Danio rerio: one gene and its partners. The protein of the gene in region 1 interacts with the protein of each later gene in a pairwise test. Links are inferred from orthologs where the notes say so. Each region holds a gene or a part of one and is shown in the gene's direction. Other genes may lie near its edges. The genes, in order: bend7, nkapd1, ppp1r37, smarca2, eaf2, eaf1 and psmf1.

Region 1 (3,500 bases):
CCTGTGATACACAGCGCGACCCCTGAACATCTGCAGTACAACTGGAGCTCAGTCATGCCTCTCTCTCAAAGCCAGTACAGCACTCGATCCAAAACACAGAGGATGCTCAACCACTGCAAAACTAATGGTGAGTCTTAGAGACCAGAGGTGTGTCCAGACCTGTCCATTCCCAATTCAACACATGCAAATTGTTATTAGAGACTTTCAGAAAGATTTGCTGTAGCTGGTTGCTGTTAAATTCTCACTTTGGTCTTCCAGGACCAGGACCGGACACAGTAATAATGATAGCTCATAAATAATCCCTATTGTAGTTTAAGCATTTAGTATCATCATTTAGGAACTTATGAATATAATTATTTTATTTTTATGTACAGTTGAAGTCAGAATTATTAGCCCCCCTGAATTATTAACCCCGTTTATTTTTTACCCCATTTCTGTTTAACAGAGAGAAGATTTTTTCAACAAATTTCTACAAATAATAGATTTCGTAACTCATTTCGAATAACTGATTTATTTTGTCTTTGCCATGATGACAGTAAATCATATTTTACTAGAATTTTTCCAAGACACTTCTATACAGCTTAAAGAGACATTTAAAGGCTTAACTAGGCCGGTTAGGGTAATTAGGCAAGTTATTGTATAACGATGGTTTGTTCTGTAGACTATCAAAAAAAAAGTTAGCTTAAAGGGGCTAATAATTTTGTACTTAAAATGTATTTTAAAAAATTAAGAACTACTTTTATTCTAGCTGAAATAAAACAAAAAAGACTTTTTCCAGAAGAAAAAATATTATCAGACATACTGTGACATTTCCTTGCTCTGTTAAACATCATTTGGGAAATATTAAAAAAAAAAAAAAAAGAATTCAAAGAGGGGCTAATAATTATGACTTAAACTGTATATAATTTTTTATTATGTCATTTGTCACTATAATAGCTCATAAATCCTCACTTCCGTAGTTTAAGCATTTTGTAACTTATTATTATAATTCATTATTTTTTAATATGGCATTTATGGCATTTTGCTGATTTCATTTATTTACATATTTTGTAATTTAATTTCAGACTATTTTGTTGTTTTGGTGTTTATTTGTTTGTTTCTTTGATTATATTTATTTTTTAGTTTAGTTATTTTCAGTGTTTGTAATGTTCTCTGCCGTTTGTCAAGTTTATATTCTTAATATAAACTTGACAAATAACTACAATACAGAAAGAGTAAATATACTTTTTTAAGACAAGTTGTTAGGATTTTAGATGATAAGCAATCCACAAAAGGTTCAAGTACAAGGTCTATCATTAATTAAGTAATATACTAATGAAATAATAATTTATTCAATATTATAAATTATTCTAGAATTTTTTCTGGTCTATACATATTTAAAAATATGAAGTCTTATTTTAGTATTTATATTTGTAAGCCTTCTGTTCTTCAGACAAGTATTTTAATTACATTTGTATACATATTTAAATACATTCATTCATTCATTCATTTTTCTTTGGTCTAGTCCCTTTATTATCCCACTATGCTACATTGATGATTATTATTATTATTATAATGCATTATGTGGTATTATATCATTAATTCATGTTTAATTTTTTATATTGTTTTTAGTTATTTAATTAATTAGTGTGTATTATGTGTTTTTCTGTTTTTTTCTGTTGTTTATTTAATTTAAGTCTTTTTTTAGTCATTTTCAGTTGTAGTAATGTTTGCACTTCTACGAAAACTAAACCAAAATTGCAAATGTTGCCTTGGCAAATAACTAAAACCCTGAAAGAGTCCATTTTCAACCTAAATATTGCAATTTTTGGTTTATTACTCTATATTATTAAGTAATATAATAATGACAGAATGATTTATAAATTAGATAATATAAATGATTTATTATAGAATTTATTTGTGTTTATTCATGTTTAAAAATATGAACTCTTAATTTAGTAGTTTTATTTGTATGCCTTCTTTCATATATTGTATTTGGGTGTATTCTAAGTGGGTAGCAAGAAGGTTGCTGGTTCAAACGCCAACTGGAACAGTTGGCAGTTCTTTGTGGAGTTTGCATGTTTCCCCGTGTTAGTGTGGGTATCCTCCAGGTGCTCCGGTTTCCCCTACAAGTCCAAAGACATGCGCTTTAAGTGAATTGAATAAAACAAATTGTCTGTAGTGTATGTGTGTAATGCAAACGTGTATGTATGGGTGTTTCCCAGTGTTGGGTTGCGATTGGAAGGGCATCCGCTGCGTAAAACATATGCTGAAAAAGTTGGCGGTTCATTACGCTGTGGCGACCCCTGATTAATAAAGCATCTAAGCCAAAAAGAAAATGAATGAAAATAATGATATTTTAAATTTTACATTTTAAAAATTCTAAATATATATATATAGTTAATATTTAGAGTTTCTTTAAATGTTTTTCATCATTTAATTTTGTTGTGTGTTTTTTTTCTTTCAACTATTGGTACTCCAACTTAAACTACATAGAAATGACTGATTTATTTATTTTATCTCATGATTTTTAAGTCTTGCCTCTGCTAAAAACAGTAAGACATTACTTGAACCTTGCATTTTGTGACCACAGGCTGCAGGAAGATGCACTGTCTGACACATGTCTAGACAGCTCTGGATAACACAGCAAATGCGTAATGTCCTCCTTCAGTACACAATAAAAGACACAAAACCTCCCTCACAGTTAGCCTGAGCCACATACATACACACACACACACACACACACACACACCGGAGTCAGACGTGCTTGGAGCCGCCGGGTGTCAGACATCGCCACTGATGCTGCATATGTGTTTGTGATTCAGACATGGCCTTGCCCCCCGCGCCTGCTGCCATGGCAACAGAGCCCAGCTGCTGTATGTGCAACTGCAAGAGCACCCTGAAGGCCATTCTGCTGGAGCTGCGCACCATGAGGAAACTACTCCAAACTCACAGAGGTAAAACACACTCAATCATGTGCTCTCAGACTGACCCTTCAGGATCTTGCAGATTAAAGCAAATGTCACAAGATTTTGACCAGCCTTAAATGCATTATCCCAGTAGGATCATCAACGACATCAAAAAACAGGTTAAAAACCTTGCTGTCTATTTGGCATCCACACATTGATGCTCGTTTGACCACCAAAAAATGACACAAAGATTATCATAACAAGAATGTGAGTGAAAAATGACCCGTGGTATTCTATGCTGTGCTGTGCTCTCAGGGCTGCAGGACAAACAGGGCTCTCACGTCTCGCTTTCCTCGTCTCGAACCTCCATCTCCAGGAGGAGGAGCCGAAAGAGGAGGCTGGGTCACAGAGTGGCTCTTCTGGTCACGCCCACAAAGAGAGCCACGCCCCCCTCCCCTTCTGCGGATGCTGTGAATGAGTGTGATCAGTCCAGAGAGGACACGCCCTCCACTGTGGCTACATTTACACCAGACCACTTTCCCACTGTAAAGAAAACTTCCCCTCACTACAGCGTCAGCGGAGGACAAAACAACACTGAGGTGAATCTGAATG
Region 2 (2,163 bases), on another chromosome or scaffold:
TTGTTACAGAATTTTTATTATTCACCAAATATATATATATATATATATATATATATATATATATATATATATATATATATATATATTAAAATTTAAAAAAGCAGTCATGTTTTAATCATTACTCAGTACATATATACAATGCTGTACAACTATAATGATTTTTGTAATGGCTCTTAAAAGTTACCATAATAGCAAAACATGTAAATACAAAGGTTAAAGGTCCCTGTTTTCATTTTTAGTAAATTAAATAAATAATTTTAAATAGATTACATAGAATACAGTGTGCAGCATGATTGAGTACACCCCTTTTTGAATATTAATATTTTTTTCCATTTCTCAGTGAATATAGGCAATGTATTTTGGTGCATTTAAACAAAACAGATTTATTGAACAGATATATTTATTAAAATAATATTTTAGTCACCACACATATTTAGAAATTAAAAGATAATGCAATTAAATTCATGCAAAATATTGAAAAAAATCTTTATACATTTTACAATTTTATACTAAATTTTATACATTTTTTGTTTCTCTTGATTTTTGCTATTTTTAAAAGTGTTTTTAAATGTTTTTCCCTGACATAAATTTGGGCTACAAATTTTTAAACTATTATAGTGAGTAATTTTGTTAGATAAGCTCCAAATTTGGCTTCAGTACTGACTAAACTAATGTATATGCACAAATATAATATTAGATAGATAGATAGATAGATAGATAGATAGATAGATAGATAGATAGATAGATAGATAGATAGATAGATAGATAGATAGATAGAACTAAAATATTTTAATTTGGTTTGTTTAACTCTATATTATTCATTTTTTTCCAGAGAGAAAGCTTGCAGTGATAGTAAACATAGAAAGAAAAAACACAAGAACAAACTGAACGCTGACTTGGAGAAATCTTCCAAGAAGTCATCTAAGAAGAAGAAAAGGAAGAAAGAGAAGAAGAAAAGGAAGACGGCGGCGCCTGGCTCAGAGACCTGCAGTGATGCAGAGGAGACCGTGAGGAGGAAACAGAGGAGAAAGGGGAGTAAAAGCAAACATAAGAAAAAAGAGCACAAAAACAAAGACAGAACTGAGGACAGCAGCACAGAGGACAGCCGTTCAGACACAAAGCCAAAAACCCACAGGAAAAGAGAGTGTCCTGAAACAGACACACTGACTGAGCCTCAAAGGAAAAAGAGGAAAAACTGGAAAGTAGCGAACGAGGAGAGATCAGAGGAGAGCTCTGATGCTTGACCTTTCAGCTCAACTACACTCTGCTTTTAAAAATGTGCATCATGTTCATTTTGCGGAGACTCTTGCTCATTCATCTGGAGTCAGTAGATCAGTGTTTATCCCTCATTGATGGCTTTTTTCCACCATGTTGGCATCCAGGAGAACTTGTCTGATTTTATGAGGTTATTTTCAATTTTTTTAACCATTTTCTTATTATGCTTGTTGTCAGACTGAAACATTTTAAATATAATAGAAAACTCAGGGAATTCTGTAACGTGTCTGATTTTTATAAATATTCTTGTATTCATGTCATACTTTCATACTCAAACCTGCCAGTCACAATAATACAGTGTAGTTTTGTTTTCCAAACAGCATTAGTGTTTGTTAAAGGGACAGTTCACAGAGAAACTTAAATTTGCTCTTAATTAAAAAAACGTTATGGAAAAGTTTTTGGTGATTCTGAAAATGCAAGTCTGCAGCTAGTAGCACTTTGAGAGTCATAAAAACATCCAAGCAAATTTATATTAATTCCCTTGGGTCCTGGTGATACATTGAGGTCTTAAGAAGCATAACACAACACTTACATTATTAAATTAAATTACTTTGCTTTCTATATGCTTGGTTTAATTTCAAATGAATCACTAAGGACAACGGTTTCAGCTAAACATTTTTTATTGTTATACTAAGGTAAATTAACAGCATATTTGCTTTTTGCCCTGGCAGAACTAATCCTTCCAGTTTCAGTACACTTGAATAGTCATCATACTACAGTTGCCCGTTAGGTGGCGCTGTTGCACTGCATCAGACCATCATCTCAAAGCGGCTAGCTTGTCTTTTAACGACCTGTTTTTACTCAGTCACTTGTAAACACCTACGGTAAATGCTATTATTTCTACTGTTTACTTCCATTTACTGATAATGGCTACTTCCCCTTGCTAAT
Region 3 (3,500 bases), about 42 Mb from region 1:
ATGTATTTATTTATTTATTTATTTTATTTTTTTATTTTAAAAAGATTTGGCAGCCCTTTTTTACAATTTTTTTTTTATAATTACTTTTCCTTTAATTTTTTTTATTTTTTATTTATTTATTTATTTTTATAGTTTTTTAGGCAGTGTATTTAGGGTTTGTTAAAATGGGTTTATATGTATAAAAAATTATAATTTTATAATTAATATTTTATTTGTTGTGTGTGTGTGTGTTTGTGTGTGTTTGTTTGTGTGCGTGCATGCGGGTGTGTGTGTGTGTGTGTGTGTGTGTGTGTGTGTGTGTGTTTGTGTGTGTTTGTGTGTTTGTGTGTGTGTGTGTGTGTGTGTGTGTGTGTGTGTGTGTGTGTGTGTGTGTGTGTGTGTGTGTGTGTGTGTGTGTGTGTGTGTGTAACAGGAGCGGTGGCCATCGCAGAGTTCATCGCTGAGAGTCCAAGGCTGCTCCGGCTGGACATGCGAGAAAACGAGATCAAGACCGGAGGCCTCATGGCTCTCTCTCTAGCATTTAAAGTCAACACGTCTTTACTGAGACTCGACCTGGACCGAGAGCCCAAGAAGGAGACGGTGAGAGCTGGGAGAATCTCATATACAGCAGGACTGAGCTAATACAGACAGGCAACTTTAACATATTACATGAACCATTGGTTTTAAATTATGCAAAAATCACTTTTGTAAGGGGTTGAAACAGTTGTGTGAATTTAAACATCCTCTAATGGTAAAAGTGAATCATTTATAAATAGGTGGCGCTGCTCCAGAAGTTTTTGAGTACTTTCAGGGCATGGGGTTGAAGATGCATACCATGTTTTGTAATGATATGTGAATATGTTGTTAAAATATAGCATTTTTGGCCAAAAATCGAAATGGGCGATGCCCAAAATGGCTGACCTGTGAAAATTCGACATGCTCTGCCGGATGTAATGAGACCAGTTTTATGAGTTTCGGACGAAAGGTTGAGACGTTATAAACCAAAAAAGCTATTTTTTTCCTATCTCCGGACCACTAGGGGGCAGTTCGCCGAAACTCTGCATATAACCTCAGACCCTAGTTGTCATAACACACACCAAGTTTGGTGTGAATCAGTGAATGCGTTACGGAGATATCGCCTCAAATCCATTTTCGCAAGTTCTACGTTACATTTGATTGCAAGTTAAACGAAAACATGTGGTCTAATCAACTTGAATTCCATAAATTTGGGTTGGCATGGTCTGTAGATCATGTGTTTAAATTTTGGTGAAAATCGGAGACACGGCCTAGGACGAATTCAATCAAATAGGTTTTTCGAAAAATTTTAAAAAGTGCGAAAAAATTCATGACAGAAAATGACGTCGTAGGATGCGTTTGTATCGGACTGAGCCAAGGAATCAGAGGAAAAAATAGAATTTTGATTGTAGCCCATTCGGTTCAAAAGTTATCATGATAAATACACGTGAAAGTTTGGACCAGTGGTGGCGCTAGAGAGTTTGATGTTGAGACTTCATATTTGGTCTGATTAATGTTAAGACTGTCCTCTATCCTTGTGCCAAATTATACAACTTTCCCGCATATGCCTATATGGGCTGCCATTCAAATCCGGCGGAAGAAACGGAAGAAGAATAATAATAATAGGAACGCTAACGAAAGCAATAGTTGCCTACACACCTACGGCGCTTGGCCCCTAATTAGACTTGATTAAAACAGTCTGCTGGTTGGCATTCTCCCTTTGTACGTGTCATCAGAGGGGGAAAGCCCCGCCCACTAGTGACCATCTCTCCCTCATTAGCATAGGATGATAGTCTTGTTTTTGAATCTGCCACTATGCTGACACACAGGCATCAGAAGCACCTCTCTTTTTTTACTGCACACCACTGGTGATGTGTATTGATATACAGCTGAAGGCAAAACTATTAGCCGCCTGTGGAAATCTTTTTCTTTAAAAAAATAAAAGCAGTTTACATTTTTTACAGGTAATTATATATACGAGTGTTCAGCAGGTGTGTGACATTGACACTGTTTATTGCATCCCCGCACTGCATCTGTGTTTCCAGGTGAAGAGTTTCATTGAGACACAGCGCGCCCTGCTGGCCGACATCCAGAACGGCTGCAAGAGGAACTTCATATTGGCCAGAGAGAAGGAAGAAACCGAGCAGAAGATGAGACTCTCGGCTTCAATGGCAGAAATCGCCACTGAGGACCAAACCCACGAAGAAGAAGAAGAAGAAGAAGCATCCCCTTTGAAGAAAATCGAAGAAGAAACCACAGACGCTCCGAAAGATGCAACCCAGGAGAGCAGTGAAGTGTCTGAAAACCAAGAGCCCAAAGATCAGGAATCAACACCGCAGGATGATTCAGATTCAGACACTGAAGATGAAGAAACGCCAACAAACACTTCATTAACATCCACATCTCCAATACCCATTCCAGCTGCAGCAGACACCAGTAAAACCATCCCCTCCACTCCTCCTATAGCATCTCCAGCCGTCATTTCAGGAATTACAGTAACAGAAGCCAGCATTGTCACACCGTCATCTCCTGGACGATGTATTTCAGTGTCCAGTCCAGGAAGAGGACACAAAATCTTCATGGTAACCCGTGTGGAAAGCCCTCCCGAGCAGCAGCAGACGAGTATCGCAATGCTCAAAAGCATCCAGCCGTCAGCAATAACTGATATAAAAGCACCTTCGCAGACGCAGAATTCAACACAACCCACAGAGAAATCGCATGCAGAAAAGACACCAGATGCACAGCAGGAGGATTCAGTATCCACAAGCACACCGAGTCTGGATGCTAATATTGACCAGACTCAGTTGACAGAGAGTGTCAGTGAGGAGGAGCAGAAGAAAGCAGAAACACTAAACAATGAAGCTGATATAAATGAAGACGCAAACACAGGAGCGCCGCTGCCCAACGGTCTGAAGCCAGAGTTTGCCTTGTTTGAGTTTGAGGGAGCCAAACCAGCCAGCTGTATCATGGAGCACGGTGAGTTCACGCTGCATTCACCTGACGATAAGCTTTCAACACATTGTCATGTTTACTCCTGGGAGAACTTTTTCTAGAGGAGCTGTCGACATGAAGTTGAAGCAGATTTTGGTAAAAACCCAAACAATACACACATGAAAATAAAACTAAACAAATCTGAAAAATTAGTTATGTGTCATAATTAAATAACAGAAACTACTGAAACATATTTAATAGGGGTGTCACGATTTCGATTTTAAATTTATGCTTAATTTCGATTATCAAATCAAAAAATAGAATCGTCGATGCTGCCACGCCCCCATGTCACGTCAGCTTGGCTTGCCAAGCGGGAAAAAAACACGCTTGTTGAACTGCTGAAGCAGGAGACAAAGCTTAAACCCTCTCCTTTTTCAATGAAGTCACCGGTGTGGAAGCATTTTGGATTTCCAGTGAGTTACGTTGACAACCTTCGTGTTTTCGAAAAAAAACAAACACAGTTTTGCAAGCTCTGCTATGTACGTATTAGGGTTCGTCCGATTGACAACACCGGC
Region 4 (3,500 bases), on another chromosome or scaffold:
AAGTTGAGATACAACCTGAAAGACGACAATACAACACGTATTATCACGAACATCGGCACTTTTAATAGTTTATTTTACAGACTTATAATATGCATGGTGTTCTATTGGTGTTTTCATTCCAAAATGGCCGCCCCGCCCTCTAGTGGCTGTTTCCCAAATTACACCAGAGTGTCGCCTCTTGGTCATTCTAAGCTCTTTGCTGTAAATAATGTTTATTCAGCAATAATTCTCCAGTACTGATAGCAGAACCGTTAACATCAGAGCTTATTGATTCTTCGGTCTTTTATAATTTAGCACCAAGACTGATAAAATACCGAGTTTCGGTACCCATCCCTACCGGCAGTAGGGTACATTTCATCAGTTGATTCATTCTCTGGAAGTTTAGAGAAACCACTAATCTAGTAAAGAGGTTTGCATACCAGAAAAGAGTTAAGAACTAAGATCTGTAAAATTTAAACATCATTTTTCTTGTGTAAACACCTAATGATGCCTCTCAGGCTTTTCTCCCAAGCACCAAGCTCAAGACATTATTCCAAATCCTACTGCATCACAGATTGCAGCAACACGGTGGCGCAGTGGTTTGCACTGTCACCTCACAGCAAGAAGGTTGCTGGTTTGAGTCCCAGCTTGCTTAGTTGTCATTTCTGTGTGGCGTTTGCATGTTCTCACTGTGTGCTCCCGTTTTCCCCACAGTCCAAAGACATGCGCTATAGGTGAATTGAATTAACTAAATGGTCCGTAGTGTATGTGCTTTAATGTTACGCCTGTTTCACACCGCAAGCGTCAGCGGCGCGTGAGCAGAGCGTGAGCAGCGCGTGTGTTTTCGGCGTCCATGTTAACAGCTTAGAGCTTTCACACCGCACGCAGCAGCAGCGCGTCAGAGCGAGGCGTGAGCGTCGCCGAAGCAGCAGTGCAGCGATAGTTTCGGCGCTGGGTCTATTTTTGACGCGCTGCTCACGCTCAATTAAAGTGACAGTGCTTTGATAATGACCAAAACACATTGAATGACAGTAAAAAGTAGCAATTTTACCCAATAAATGCGTTAATAATGTCCAATGGTTTATATATAGTCATTCAAATGAACTTAAAACGATTAAAAACGGCAACAAACATTTATTTAGGCCCGAACTACAAAACCAAATGTAAAACAATTTTAGTATCAGTTTTGCTTAAGTTGCACACTAGTGTTGTAGGAGAGGGGAAATAGAATATTTACGGGAATTGTAGTCCATAGCGAAGTGTATTGTGGGTAGTGTAGTTCGACACGCATGCTGGATGATGTGAGCTCGCTGTGTTCTGTGCAGCTGAGCAGAGCAAGAAAGTTTTTATCGGCTTTGTTTTATGTTTACTCGAGTTATTCCTACCGGGAGCTTTTTGCACTCTGAATCTGACAACACGAAAATAAGTAAAAGAATGGCATGCATTGGTTACTTTCGTCCGTCTCATCCTCTGCACGAGCATGAATTAACGAGCTGTTTTTCTGCCGCTGGACATCACTGAAGCGGAGAAAGTAACACTAGTTTGATCATGTATAAATATCATTATAACTATATTGTATAAATATTATTATAACTAGGTCTACAGCAACCTGATAATAAAAAACAAATGACATGATATCACAGGCGATTGTCTTCTGACTGTAGACGCTTCTTATATAAGTTAGATTGAGAAGCATACAGCACTATTTGATCTATAGAATTTGTAAAATAAACATTTGCCGGTTAAAGAAACAGCATAGGAGGGGCCTTGGTGCAGATGAAAAGTTTGAAAAGTGTATTTGTATATAGAGAGACATAGGTAACTAGATAGAATAGACAGAGATAGGTTGATCTCTGCAGCAGCTGCCGAAGAGCTGCGCGCTGCAGACGCAGCTGGTGTGAAAGGCAAACGCCTGCGTGCTGCTACTGCTCGACATACTCGCTGCTCACGCTCTGCTCACGCGCCGCTGACGCTTGCGGTGTGAAACAGGCGTTAGTGTATGGGTGTTTCCCTGCACTGGGTTGCTGCTGTAAGGGCATCCTCTGTGTAAAACATTCAGTATTCTGGATAAGTTGATGGTTCATTCTGATGTGGCGACCCGGATGAATAAAGGGACTAAATTGAAGGAAATGAATGAATGACCACAGATCACCTCTCACATTAACTAACAATTTCTCCCATATCATTGTTAACGTCATTCTAGGTTGGGGAATTTGCTGGAAGATCTTTTTAGCAAGCTTTCTGTGGCTTAAATGAAGTCTATATGCCTCATATGGAGAGTTATAATTATATGCATTGTGCTTTCTCTTTTTTCTCAAAGTCATTTATGACACTTTATTCCATCTCATAGTCATTTCTTTTGGTGATTAAATTACATCCTTTGGACTGCTTTTTTTAAGCTGAATGTGACGCGTCTGCTTTTGCAATACCTGTGAGTTGATCTTCTAATCCAGTTTGTGACTGCCGAACTGTCATTTTCAGATTCGCTGGAAGTATATGATTGTGGACGAGGGTCACCGTATGAAGAACCATCACTGCAAGCTCACACAGGTGTTGAACACCCACTACGTTGCTCCCAGGAGGCTGTTGCTCACTGGTACTCCCCTGCAGAACAAATTACCTGAGCTCTGGGCCCTGCTCAACTTCCTCTTACCCACTATCTTCAAAAGCTGCAGCACCTTTGAGCAGTGGTTCAATGCTCCTTTTGCAATGACAGGAGAAAGGGTAAACTGTCATATTTGAATCTTTAGAGATTTAGAGATGTCTATTTTACGTCTTACACTGTATTTTAATGACTTTTTTTCTTGGTTATGGGGTTGCGCTGATGTTTGTTAGGTGGATCTGAATGAAGAGGAGACCATCCTCATCATTCGTCGTTTGCATAAGGTGTTGCGTCCCTTCTTATTGCGCAGACTGAAGAAAGAGGTGGAGTCTCAGTTACCTGAGAAAGTAAGTGTATCCACTTTGTCTCTTGTGTGTGTGTGTGTGTGTGTGTGTGTGTGTGTGTGTGTGTGTGTGTGTGTGTGTGTGTGTGTGTGTGTGTGTGTGTGTGTGTGTGTCTGTGTCTGTGTCTGTGTCTGTGTGTATGTATTTTATTATTAGCTGATAGTGAAAAGAGCATTCAGTGACATTTAGCATCTGTCTGCTTTGGTTCACTGCACACAGAAATCAACACATAGTCACTGCCTTTTTCACATACTGTGTTGACGCATTTTCACAGATATCGTGAAATACTGTAAAGGCCACCAAGAACTATAACATTAGAATGCATAATTCTAAAACAAGGGTGTCAAACTAATTTTCACTGAGGGCCATTTTAGCATTAGGCTGCCCTCAAAGGGACAGTTATAACTGTAAGACTGTATGGCGGATTTTCATGGAAACTTAGTTGAAACATTTTCAACAATAAGTAAAAAAAAAAATATATATATATATATATATATAAGGTGCCCTTTAAGATTTTTAAGTGCAATATGTATGAGATTTTGTTAAAAACATTTAATGTACAAAAAACAACATTG
Region 5 (4,049 bases), on another chromosome or scaffold:
TTTCTGAAGCTGGTAAATAAATATGTAAGAGCTGTAAAATAAATCATAATAAATGTCATGTGTGACCTATAATTTGTGCAGAAATGGAAATGTTTTCATTGATTCTACATCATTACTTGATTCATGGTCACACACTTTTTTCAAATGCAATTATATATAAAGCTACAAGCATTTACAGATGGAATCTAAAACTCAGCATCAGATCAGCATAAAATACAGAATCTCTAATCTAATCTAATGACAAGTAGTGTCAGACTTCATTTTCACCCCATCATATTAGATCTCAAAGGATGTTTTTCTTTGTTTTACAGACAGTCACCCAGCAACCTGCTAATTCCCTACATCACATGCTCCCGCTGAACCAATCTCCATCTCTATTGAGGTTTTCAGAAACAGTGGACTTCATGGAAATAGTTTTACGTTTAAGATGAATGACACTGAAGATAACCTAGTATACGGTATTCCGTGAACATTAAACTGAAAATAACAAATACTTAAGCTGACAGAAAGCTGGTTAACCCTCGCTCAAAATATGAAGTGAACGGGACAATTCATTTATTTAGCCTCCGCTTCGTTAATGAACGTGTCACTTTTACAACCGACTCATTAATATAAAGATACAGGAGAAATGACAGTGTAGTGTATGATCATACTTACATTAGATATTTGTTTTAGTAGAGTTGACATGTCGACGGTCTCTCTCCTCCACACACGCGCTGCTCGTAAATGAATCGGCGACCTCTAGATAGCAGAAGACCCCATATAACGTTACTCTCTCTGCGTCAATGCAAACAAACTGCACGATTTTATTAAAGAAACAAAACATATTTGGGGGAAAAGAGAAAACGATTCCAACACAGCAAGGCATATAATCTATTAATATAATTTAATATTTTATGAGGAATTATGATTTTATTGTCTGTGCTAATGAAATTACCCGTTTGGAACATACCTTAAAATATTTATTTTAGACCCAAACTACGTTTCAACATGTCATTTTTATTTTTTCTTAACTGACAAGACTTTTTTACTTGTCATCGTTAACTGCACAAATACAAATAAGCATTCTTAGGGAACACTAGAGGGCACCAGTGCAGTCGTGTAAACGCGTGTAAGGGAAAAGATGGGCACTTCCGTCAAACGTTACGTCAGCGTCGACTGATTGTCTTCTAAACCAATTACAGACAAGAAGTGAACGAAATGAGGCGTGACCAAGTGCAGTAACACAGCCAATCCCAACGTAGCAAGCGTGAGCAACGGGTCCAGAAGTGAGGCGTCTATTTCTGCCTTAGATGGTATCAAACCAAGCAGAAAGTTGAAAATCGCTAATATATGGTTGAAAATTTGGATTAGAATGAATGGAACAGCATATTCAAACTTTGACAGTCAAGAACACGTCCTCAAACTAGGCGAAACTTTTGAGAAACAACCTAAAAGTGCATTCCACACGGTACGATGTAAGTTGCATCTTTTATATTGCTAGCGGTATTTCAAAATGATCATATAAACACGATAATGTGAGTCATATTTTGAAAAAGAAAACGAGGTGTTTTTTAAGTTAACACCGAAACCATATATTGTTTTCAAAGAAAACGCACAGGCATATCAGGAGGCAGCTATGTGCTTTTCCACCTTGCTGGCTTAAACTCGGCTTTGTATGTTGTTTGGGGATCATTTAAAAAAGCATCCTGTCTTTGTGCTCACAACGAAAACTATTATAAATAAACAGCCTTTTTTGTTAGTCGAAAACTTGTCGTTTTAATGAAATTTTGAGAGCCATTTAATTCATGAAGAATAATGATCTTTCATGGGAAACACGCGCCCTCTGTAGGTTCTGCAATGATACTACGATGTTTGTTTTACTGTGTACTGTACGTGTCAGTAATAATAGCACACCTGAATATCAAGAAATATGTTCTTCCTGGACACAGATGATTTCAAACCAGCCTCCATAGACACTACATGTGAGGGGGAGCTGGAAGTGGGAAAAGGAGAGCAAGTTACAATCACATTACCGAACTTGGAAGTAGGTTTCATAACCTTACATTCTGAAGTGTACGTAAAATGAATGATTCTTGAGTCTTTTTCTCTCCAATCAACCCTTTCAGGGATCCACAGCACCAGTTACTGTATTTAAAGGCTCTAAAAGGCCTTATATGAAGGAGTGTATTCTGATTGTTAACCATGACACAGGAGAGTATCGTCTGGAGAAACTCAGCAACAACATTGCGGTCAAGAAGACCAGGTAAAAACACTTTTGAGTTTCAAGTCATATAAATATGATGCTTCCTTCTAATCCTTTGAATTGTATGTGAAGTAAATAAATTGTCAAATTCTCTTTTCTGTCCAGGGCTGAGGGAAGCAGTAAGATTCAGTCACGGCTGGAGCAACAAACCAGCAGACTCAGCCAGCAGATGAAGACGGGTAGCGGAAGCAAGGCTCCATCCAGCACCAAGAGCTCTCCTCCCAAAGAAAAGATGTCTCCATCATCTCCTATGGATGATATTGAGCGAGGTAACATGTCTGGTCCAAATTAAAAAAAAAAAAAAAAGATTCCTGCAACAAATCATCAGTTTCACATCCATAACTGATCCACATATTATATTGATTCATGGTATCTTCCGTCCATTCCATATCTGTTTTTAAACCGTTTGAAAAAAAGGGAAAACTTTTGGCTCTTTTTTTTTTTTTTTTTTTTTTTTGGGGTTTATTGTAGGAAAATGGATACTACTTTTAAATTCATTATACACATGTAGGCGATGTTGAAACGCCCTTTTTCATCTGACGAATGAAATCTGAGCTCATCACGTTGTCTTCAAAACAATAGTCCTATATATATATATATATATATATATATATATATATATATATATATTTAAAATAAGAGGAAATAAAAATGTAAAAAAAACTAATGGTATCTTTTGTTATAGCCCTAGGGCCCAATGTGTTCTTGTTCTGGTCCTGCTAACAATTATTTAAAAAACTAGACAATAAAAAAACACAAAGTAAACAATAATATTTATTATAAGCCTACTACTATTATTATTATTATTATTATTATTATTATTATTTAGGCCTACAGTAGCTCTGAAACAATAATGCAAACTAGGTTATGCTCAGAAAAGGCTATCTTTACTCGGCATCAGGCGCACAGCAGCAAGACGTTTTGCTACGAACTATTGCCTTCTTTTAATGACATGTGTAACTATACTGCTAATTTATGTTTTTATTTAACTTATGCATACGCAATGAATGTAAGCCTGCTAACTGATTAAATACTAGGATATTTAAACTTAGTTTATATATAAAATAAATAATAATGATAAAAAGCCTGGGTGCAGATCCTCAGAGGACTATTATTTTGAGGGCGACGTCATGAGCTTAGACTTGGTTAGCCAATCAGAGGAAAAAGGGCTTTCAGCACTGCTTACATGTGTTTAATGAATTTTAAAGTCATTGATCCGTTTTCCTCCCCTAAAATAAAAAATGAAAATCCAGCCAAAATGTAGGTTTTTGTGAGCAAAAGAAAAACCAAAAAACATCCGTTTTCCGTTTTTTTTTTTTTTTTTTTTTGGAAACGGATATGGAATGATTGGAAGAAACCCTGATTATACTGCAAGCCTGTGGTCTCAAATGACTGTGATTTAGTTATTCTAAAAGAAATCTAATGCAAATTGTGGAGATATAAACATAATACAATGAAATGACAGTTAAAGTGTTTCCTCATTTAACAATAATTATGATGGTTGTGATCGATTTAGTGTAATAGTCCTGGATTATTAAATCTTTTTCAATTTTGTCCCTCAAAACCATCTGAACCTAGTAAGTACAGTTCTTAATGTTGCTGTAGAGGTATTACAAGGTTATAACACAACTTTATATTTTTTCCTGGTCTTGAAATATTGAAGGAGACAACCATAAAAAAAAAAAATTAATAAATCATAAAAGTGCATTTTTTATACTCATTTTCTCTAAAAAAAAAAAAAAAAAAAAAAAAAAAAGTTTGATGGATGGATGAATAGATAGATGATGAATGGATGGATGGATGG
Region 6 (3,500 bases), on another chromosome or scaffold:
CTTAATATATGAAATAAAAAGTAATACATTACTGAATAAAAACTGAATGAATTCAGATTTACACATTTACTCAAGTGAATAAACTGAATTAATGATGGGCTAAAAATCTGCAGAAATCTGCGGAATTCTGCGCGTGCAGATTCCGTGTGGGCCTAGCAATAGGGTATATGCTGAAGCGTGCCAATAGGACTTTTAATTTGCCAGTAACCTGGGTTAACCGCTTCCGGTGAACTGTATGCCAAAGCAAAATCAAATGCGTTTATGGTCTGTTTTCTTTAAAAATCAGCGATCTCCATTGGTTGAGTGATATCCAATATAAAGTGTGTCTGAGATTGTACAAGAAGCACTGCATTAAATTACATTTTCACCGCCATGTCTTTATAAAAAGAGCATTCACTTTACTCCAGTATATTCAATGGAGCTTCTGCATTATCCTGCCGATTCTGTTGGTCACGTGCGAGTAAACAGGTTTTTGTCTCATTTTACGCTTGAGTAACTAAGTGAATACCAAAGTCTGTTTAACTGAATGTATTGAATTACATTACAACATTGATGCTGTAAAAGGAACCATATATAAAGCAGGGCTGAGCCTGGTTAGTACCTGGATGGGAGACCACTAGGGAACACTAGATTGCTGTTGGAAGTGGTGTTAGTGAGGCCAGCAGGGGGCGCTCAACCTGTGGTCTGTGTCCTGAGTCCTAACGCCCCAGTAAAAGTGAAGGGGACACTACACTGTCAGTGGGCGCCGTCTTTCGGATGAGACGTTAAACCGAGGTCCTGACTCTCTGTGGTCATTAAAAATCCCATGGCACTTCTCGTGAAAGAGCAGGGGTGTAACCCCGGTGTCCTGGCCAAAGTCCCTCTATCGGCCCTTACGATCATGGCCTCCCGATCATCCCCTTCCACCGAATTGGCTCTATCACTGTCTCTCCACTCCACCAATAGCTGGTGTGTGGTGAGCGCACTGGCGCCGTTGTCCTGTGGCTGCCGTCGCATCATCCAAGTGGATGCTGCACACCGGTGGTGGTGTGGAGACACCCCTCATGATTGTGAAGCGCTTTGGGTGTACGGACATACACATTAAGATGCGCTATATAAAAATACTCATTACATTACATTACATATAAAATGGAAAAAAAACTCACAATAACAGGTCACCAGACGTTTATCATTATGGGAGCAACACCAGCTCGGCATATACCCTGTATAAGACAGTTTTTTTTGGTCCAGGGTCATATATTGTGCGTCTGCAGTGTTGATGTAGCTTTTTCTCTGACTCTGCTGAATTGAACCAGTGTTTTTGATCTGTGTGTGTCAGAGCTGCGGGCCGAGGTGGACATGATCGAGCAGATGAGCAGCAGTGGCAGCAGCAGCTCTTCAGAATCTGCCAGTTGTTCAGGCAGCGGGAATGACGACAGTTCCTGCAGCGATGGAGAACAGGAAACACATCTCTCGCCCAGCAGGAACAACATGGCCAACGGAATGAACAAATCACAAGGCAACAACCAGCTGATGAACACACTCCGTAAGAAAACATATATATTACCCACACGAGACAAGCATACAGTGTAATATAACTATGAATGTTGTGCAAATAGGATATAACAATAATTAATAGGTTTTGATCCCAACTGTGCCACTTTGGTGACTGTCGCTTTAAATTCAAATGAGATTGTGCTCTTTTTACAAGAGGGCAGAGCTACAAATTAGGGATGTGTAATATGGCAAACCTTAGAAACACGATTTTCTAGAACAATATTAAGATTTTGATTTTAATAACAATTTTGACACACACAGATGTTTTACACCAGGGGTCACCAATCCAGTTCCTGGAGGGCCGGTGCCCTGCAGGGTTTAGCTCCAACTTCACCTCAACACACCTGCCTGGGTGTTTCAAGTATACCTACTAAGACCTTGGCTGTTTCTCAATCGGTTCTTCAGCGGCCTTGCAACCTCGTGTTCTTGTGTAACGTCATTATCAGCTGCCAAAGTTCAGTTCCAATACTCAAGACCGCAAGTACGGAGGACGCGTGAAACTTCCTGGATGTGATCTTGATATCGAGGACGCACTGATACAGACTTGAGCACCGAACTCGCTCTGGAAGTCCCAGAAGTCATTGCGACTGGAGGTGGGAAGCGCAGCATTTTATTTAGATTTATTATTAATGTTCAGAGATATCACTTATTTACCGCAGGAGTTTCCCTAAATGAAATGGTGAAAGTAAACATCACCATGAACATCTTAATAAAGGAATAAACACATTAAGGGTGTTTGTTTGCTGAAATTCGTATTAAAATCTGTTTTATTTATATTGTGCAGAGTATATTTATAATGTTTTTATGCAAAATATATATTTTGAAGAGGGGGAAAACAATAAATCGTTATATGAATGTTGTAATGTTTAAATAATTTCCATTTAAAACGCGTGAAGGTCATGTGACCATCAGGAAGAACGCAGCATCCCATTTCTTAAAGGACGCGTTCTCTGCCCTCGCGGTCTCCTGAGTTCGTTCTTCCGAAGACACCTGGCAAGACCGCTCTCCACAAGAACGCAAGTCCATTCTCTGCGTTCTTGGAATTGAGAAACAGCCCTTGATTAACTTTTAAATATTGGACCAAACTTTGTGATCTCATAACTTTGCGCCAGACTGTCTTACAGACTTAAGGTTGTGCTCATTTAACTCACTAGCAATCTGCCAATCACTTATGACCTTTCAACTTACTAGCCACACCCTAGCAACTGTCCCATAGTTTTGTGTTTGATTAGAGTTGGAGCTAAAATCTGCAGAACACCAGCCCTCCAGGAATAAGTTTGGTGATCCCTGTTTTACAGTATGAATCTAAAACATATTTTCAAAGGAAAACAATTACATCTATATCAAAGACCTGTAACATGTCTCTAAAACAGACACACACAAAAAATCTCGTAGTAAATGTGTAACAAATTGTCTCCAAAAATTGCGTGTGCGTGCATGTCGTCAGACTCAAGTAAGGATCCAATGTTCTGCTTGAGCACATATCAGAAGTAGTCACGTGTACTTTTCTATGTGTCTACAGATTTTTTTTCTATGTGTCTACAGATTTTTTTGTCATGCATAGATCATAGACCTCTTTGTGATGCTGCCATGAAACATGCTGTTCACATATCTATACTTTTGCGCTCATAAGTTTGTTATTTCCAATGGAATATTGGGAGTGTAGGGATAGTTTAACCCAAAGAATGACCAGTCTGGTAGATGAAGAAGAGCCGGAGTCAGATATTTAAATAAATAAATCAAGTTTACTGAAGATAGTTTGCAGTTTCATTCGCAGAAGCCAGCATCAACACTCGCAATAAGTTCCTAGGCCGCTCTGCTTACAATCACCAATCAATAACAATTATACTCTCCCATAACGTCATTAACTGCGGCATACATATAGGTGTTCTAACCTGATTGGTTAAAACACAGACTAGAAAAATTTCCACGTGGGGTTCGTGCGTACAATTCTGAACATTATC
Region 7 (3,500 bases), on another chromosome or scaffold:
TCCGCTGTGGCGATCCCTGTTTAATGAAGGGACTAATCCGAAAAGAAAATGAATGAATGTGCCATATACTGTCTCACATCATGAATCATAGAACGGTAGAAAGTATCTGAAGAAATATACTGAAAAAAACTCAAACTTAGAACGAGAATCATTTGATGACTCTAACATTCTCGAGTCATTTTGAACCTTTATACATTGCCAAAAATATTTTATTTTCACAAACGTATGAAAGTAAAGACTTGCATTTATATTTCCCATGAAGTCCTTTGAAATGTAAGTTTTTTTAATTCGATGTTTGATCTCAACTGAAACATGAAGACAGGGCAGGGGTCCATTCTTCGTACGTGGATTACTCAGTTAGCTGGATTTGGATATTGACGATTTGACAACATCCAGGATCGTTTCGTTCTTTAAAGCTGATCCAAGAGTTGTTGTCAAAGCAACAGTTCTGCTAGGTCAAACCTGATCGGGGGCAGGTTCAATTCATATAAACAGGATTAGAACCGGCTCAGTTCAAGCAAAGATAATAAAGTATGTTCCGAATTCTGATATTTTCTTACAGTAGTAGTTGTATACACTTGGGAAAATGGTAAATATTTTAACTATATATATATATATATATTATATATATAAGTTATAGTTATTAATAAAATAAATATAGTTATATATATTAATAAAACTTATGCAATCTGCACCCTCAAAATGAAAGTTCAAAGACTGCCCCCTGGTGGTGTGAAGTGAAAACTTATTGATTAAACTTTTTAGATCGCTTTAGTACAATGGAGTTTTTTTTAAAGCAGTAATACATTAATGCAGTCATAAACATGTTTTGATAGTTATGCCAGTGATTTGATGCTTCACAAAAGTTGCAGACGCCTTTACCAATGTCAAAATGCTTTTGTAAACATCCAGTTATTCTTTACACCGATTAAAAAAACGGCTACTATAATAAAGAAAATCTTTTCTAAATGTAGAACTAAATACATTGATTTGCATTGAAATACATGAAGAATACTCTTGACACATGAAAGTGTAAAGCCTGCAGCTCACAACAAATGTGGAAGGTTATTGCGTTTCATATTCAACAAGCCATTTACTGCTAATTTGATGTAATTTTGCTCACATGGATAATTAAATATTAATCAGATGATGTCATTACCATGCTGTGCCGTCAGCCAATCGTTGCATTGCTGATCATGATTTCGAGGATCGATAGATCTGTCCTTCACAACACACACAGCGATCTCAGATCAGTTCATCCAGACATTCTAATCTGATTCGCGAACATGTTTGAAGAACCAAATTAGCGAGAGATCAGTTATCGAGATGAAAAGATCCAGGATCTGCCAAATCATCTTAGATCATTTAAACGAGATACGAAGAACGGACCCCAGGACACAGAGTAGCTCCTTCCCTTTTTTAAAAAAAACAGCCTATAACGTTAAATTTTTATTAAAGCTCTGCCAGTGATCGAGCTCAAGTGCATCAAATGAAAAGCAAATGAGAAGTGTTTTTAAGGGTGCGGGACTTTTTAGATATTAGAAAGCATTTGATTGGTCAGAAGATTTAATGAGAAACTGAAATATGAGGGGATGTCAAAAATAATTGTTGATCCAGTTAGTCAGAAGTGTCAAACTGCATGATGCAAATTTTGTCACAGTGGAGCACACTAGCTTATAAATAACCCTGAACACTATCATACTAATACCAACATCTTAAAACTTTAAATTCAAAGTACCTTTAAAATGCTTTACAATCACTTTTGTCAATTTAATATGATTTAAGGTATTCATTCACACACTCTGTGTTTTTCTTTCAGCGTGTTTAAGAACACAGATGAGTTGACTGCGAAACTGAAGTCCTCGCTGCTGCCTTCCAAAAAAGAGGAGCGTCAAGGAAAGACAGAGAAGAAGACAGAAAGAGAACGAGCATCCAACTTAAGGGACCCAGACAGTGATCCTCTCCTGATCCCAACCAGAGGCCCTCCAGCCAGACACCCTGCAAACTGGTGAAGTTCTCTATTTTCTTATACAAATTGTGCATTGATTATTATTATTTTTATTTTTTTTGCAGTGTCACCTTTTAAATGGGTCCTAATTAACTTCCACGGCATCATGCTTTAGTTTTAGTGTCCATTTACCTCAAGCATGAAAACAATAAATATAAATATGTGTCCACATAGAACAGTGTTTCTCAACCACGTTTCTGGAGGACCACCAACACTGCATGTTTTGGATGTCTCCTTTGTCTGTCACACCCATTACTGCTTTTTCAGTGTCTGCTAATTAGCTGATGATCAGGTGTGTTTGGTTAAAGAGACATGAGCTGGGTCCAAAATCACATACTTCCATACTATATAGTATACTAAAAACAGCATGCGAGCCAAGTAGTATGCCAGAATTCATAGAGTTTGAAAAACAGTATGCGAGAAGTGCTCAGATGACTTACTACTTCCGGGGAGATTCTGAAGTGCGCATCCTATGCATGCTGCGCCAGGGCCGGAGTGGGACTCCTTTTCAGCCCTGGAGTTTCAAGCCTCAGACCGGCCCACCTCAGTTCACGACTGACTATATTAAAATAAGGTCATTTCCAAATCAGTTTCTAATGACACCATCACGTCTTTTTTTGAGAAAACAGCTGCTTTAGAACTTCAAATGTTCAACAACCCTAACAGTATTATATGTCTTAACAATAAAAATGAAAACAATAAGTTACTCAATCGAGGATCGAACCCGGGTCCGCAGCGTCTTAATCTAACGTGCTAACCGCTGGACCAAATTAGCTGTGTTGAGAGAGGAGACAAAACTAAATTAGATGAAAAGAGAACAGTTGCGGTAGAATAATGAATAGAAAGGCTGTGGTCAAGTAAATAAATAAATGTAAAAAGTGTGACTGCTGAGAGCAACAGATTCTGCAGCTAGGGACACCGGCCCTCGCGGCCAAAAAACGGACCGGCCCACCGGGAATTCTCCCGGTCCTCCCAATTAGCCAATCCGGGCCTGTGCTGCGCTATCCCATGATGCAAGAGAATTCATTAATAGGAGTAAAGCGTGACAAGATGGCGGATGTAGTACGTCCGAGTTCCATTCATACTACTCCCATTCATACTGTATAGAACAGGGGTGGCCAATCCTGTTCCTGGAGATCTACCTTCCTGCAGATTTCAGTTGCAACCCTTATCAAACACACCTGTCTGTAATTATTAAGTGGATTTCAGGTTCTAATTAATTGGTTCAGGTGGGTTTAATCAGGGTAGGAGCTAAACTATACAGGAAGGTAGATCTCCAGGAACAGGATCAAGCACCCCTGGTATAGAACATACTTTTCTAATGGTCGAGTAGTAAATTTAAATTCAAATGTAGTACCCACTGAGTAGTAGGCGATGTCAGACACAGCCACAGAAAATGTGCAGAGCTGGTGGTCCTCCAGGAACGCTGTTGAGAAACACATAGATGAACGATAATGATGTTTATTTTCAGATTATGCTTTAAATTGGGCAT

What was found.
Region 2: the proteins of bend7 (region 1) and nkapd1 interact in binary tests that used the Homo sapiens proteins (3 or more experiments, as listed by UniProt). The two-hybrid records come from large-scale screens. The link is inferred for Danio rerio from reciprocal best matches to the Homo sapiens genes BEND7 and NKAPD1.
Region 3: the proteins of bend7 (region 1) and ppp1r37 interact in binary tests that used the Homo sapiens proteins (3 or more experiments, as listed by UniProt). The two-hybrid records come from large-scale screens. The link is inferred for Danio rerio from reciprocal best matches to the Homo sapiens genes BEND7 and PPP1R37.
Region 4: the proteins of bend7 (region 1) and smarca2 interact in binary tests that used the Homo sapiens proteins (3 or more experiments, as listed by UniProt). The two-hybrid records come from large-scale screens. The link is inferred for Danio rerio from reciprocal best matches to the Homo sapiens genes BEND7 and SMARCA2.
Region 5: the proteins of bend7 (region 1) and eaf2 interact in binary tests that used the Homo sapiens proteins (3 or more experiments, as listed by UniProt). The two-hybrid records come from large-scale screens. The link is inferred for Danio rerio from reciprocal best matches to the Homo sapiens genes BEND7 and EAF2.
Region 6: the proteins of bend7 (region 1) and eaf1 interact in binary tests that used the Homo sapiens proteins (3 or more experiments, as listed by UniProt). The two-hybrid records come from large-scale screens. The link is inferred for Danio rerio from reciprocal best matches to the Homo sapiens genes BEND7 and EAF1.
Region 7: the proteins of bend7 (region 1) and psmf1 interact in a two-hybrid assay, tested with the Homo sapiens proteins (2 studies listed by BioGRID and IntAct). The two-hybrid records come from large-scale screens. The link is inferred for Danio rerio from reciprocal best matches to the Homo sapiens genes BEND7 and PSMF1.

The regions. Positions count from the first base shown.
Region 1 is NC_133193.1:9,572,772-9,576,271, reverse strand, and holds part of bend7 (BEN domain-containing protein 7), read left to right. Parts: coding exon 1-127; intron 128-2,804; coding exon 2,805-2,936; intron 2,937-3,203; coding exon 3,204-3,487; intron 3,488-3,500.
Region 2 is NC_133190.1:24,179,335-24,181,497, forward strand, and holds the end of nkapd1 (uncharacterized protein NKAPD1), read left to right. Parts: intron 1-832; coding exon 833-1,244; 3' UTR 1,245-1,663; downstream 1,664-2,163.
Region 3 is NC_133193.1:52,033,762-52,037,261, forward strand, and holds part of ppp1r37 (protein phosphatase 1 regulatory subunit 37), read left to right. Parts: intron 1-412; coding exon 413-579; intron 580-2,039; coding exon 2,040-2,970; intron 2,971-3,500. UniProt on the Homo sapiens protein: Inhibits phosphatase activity of protein phosphatase 1 (PP1) complexes.
Region 4 is NC_133180.1:46,069,891-46,073,390, forward strand, and holds part of smarca2 (probable global transcription activator SNF2L2), read left to right. Parts: intron 1-2,460; coding exon 2,461-2,703; intron 2,704-2,814; coding exon 2,815-2,928; intron 2,929-3,500. UniProt on the Homo sapiens protein: ATPase involved in transcriptional activation and repression of select genes by chromatin remodeling (alteration of DNA-nucleosome topology).
Region 5 is NC_133184.1:24,619,797-24,623,845, forward strand, and holds the start of eaf2 (ELL-associated factor 2), read left to right. Parts: upstream 1-1,249; 5' UTR 1,250-1,354; coding exon 1,355-1,457; intron 1,458-1,931; coding exon 1,932-2,026; intron 2,027-2,108; coding exon 2,109-2,245; intron 2,246-2,350; coding exon 2,351-2,514; intron 2,515-4,049. UniProt on the Homo sapiens protein: Acts as a transcriptional transactivator of TCEA1 elongation activity. Acts as a transcriptional transactivator of ELL and ELL2 elongation activities. Potent inducer of apoptosis in prostatic and non-prostatic cell lines.
Region 6 is NC_133191.1:7,236,221-7,239,720, forward strand, and holds part of eaf1 (ELL-associated factor 1), read left to right. Parts: exon of another isoform or gene 1-569; intron 570-1,121; exon of another isoform or gene 1,122-1,318; coding exon 1,319-1,525; intron 1,526-3,500. UniProt on the Homo sapiens protein: Acts as a transcriptional transactivator of ELL and ELL2 elongation activities.
Region 7 is NC_133181.1:54,454,113-54,457,612, reverse strand, and holds part of psmf1 (proteasome inhibitor PI31 subunit), read left to right. Parts: intron 1-1,819; coding exon 1,820-2,008; intron 2,009-3,500. UniProt on the Homo sapiens protein: Plays an important role in control of proteasome function. Inhibits the hydrolysis of protein and peptide substrates by the 20S proteasome. Also inhibits the activation of the proteasome by the proteasome regulatory proteins PA700 and PA28.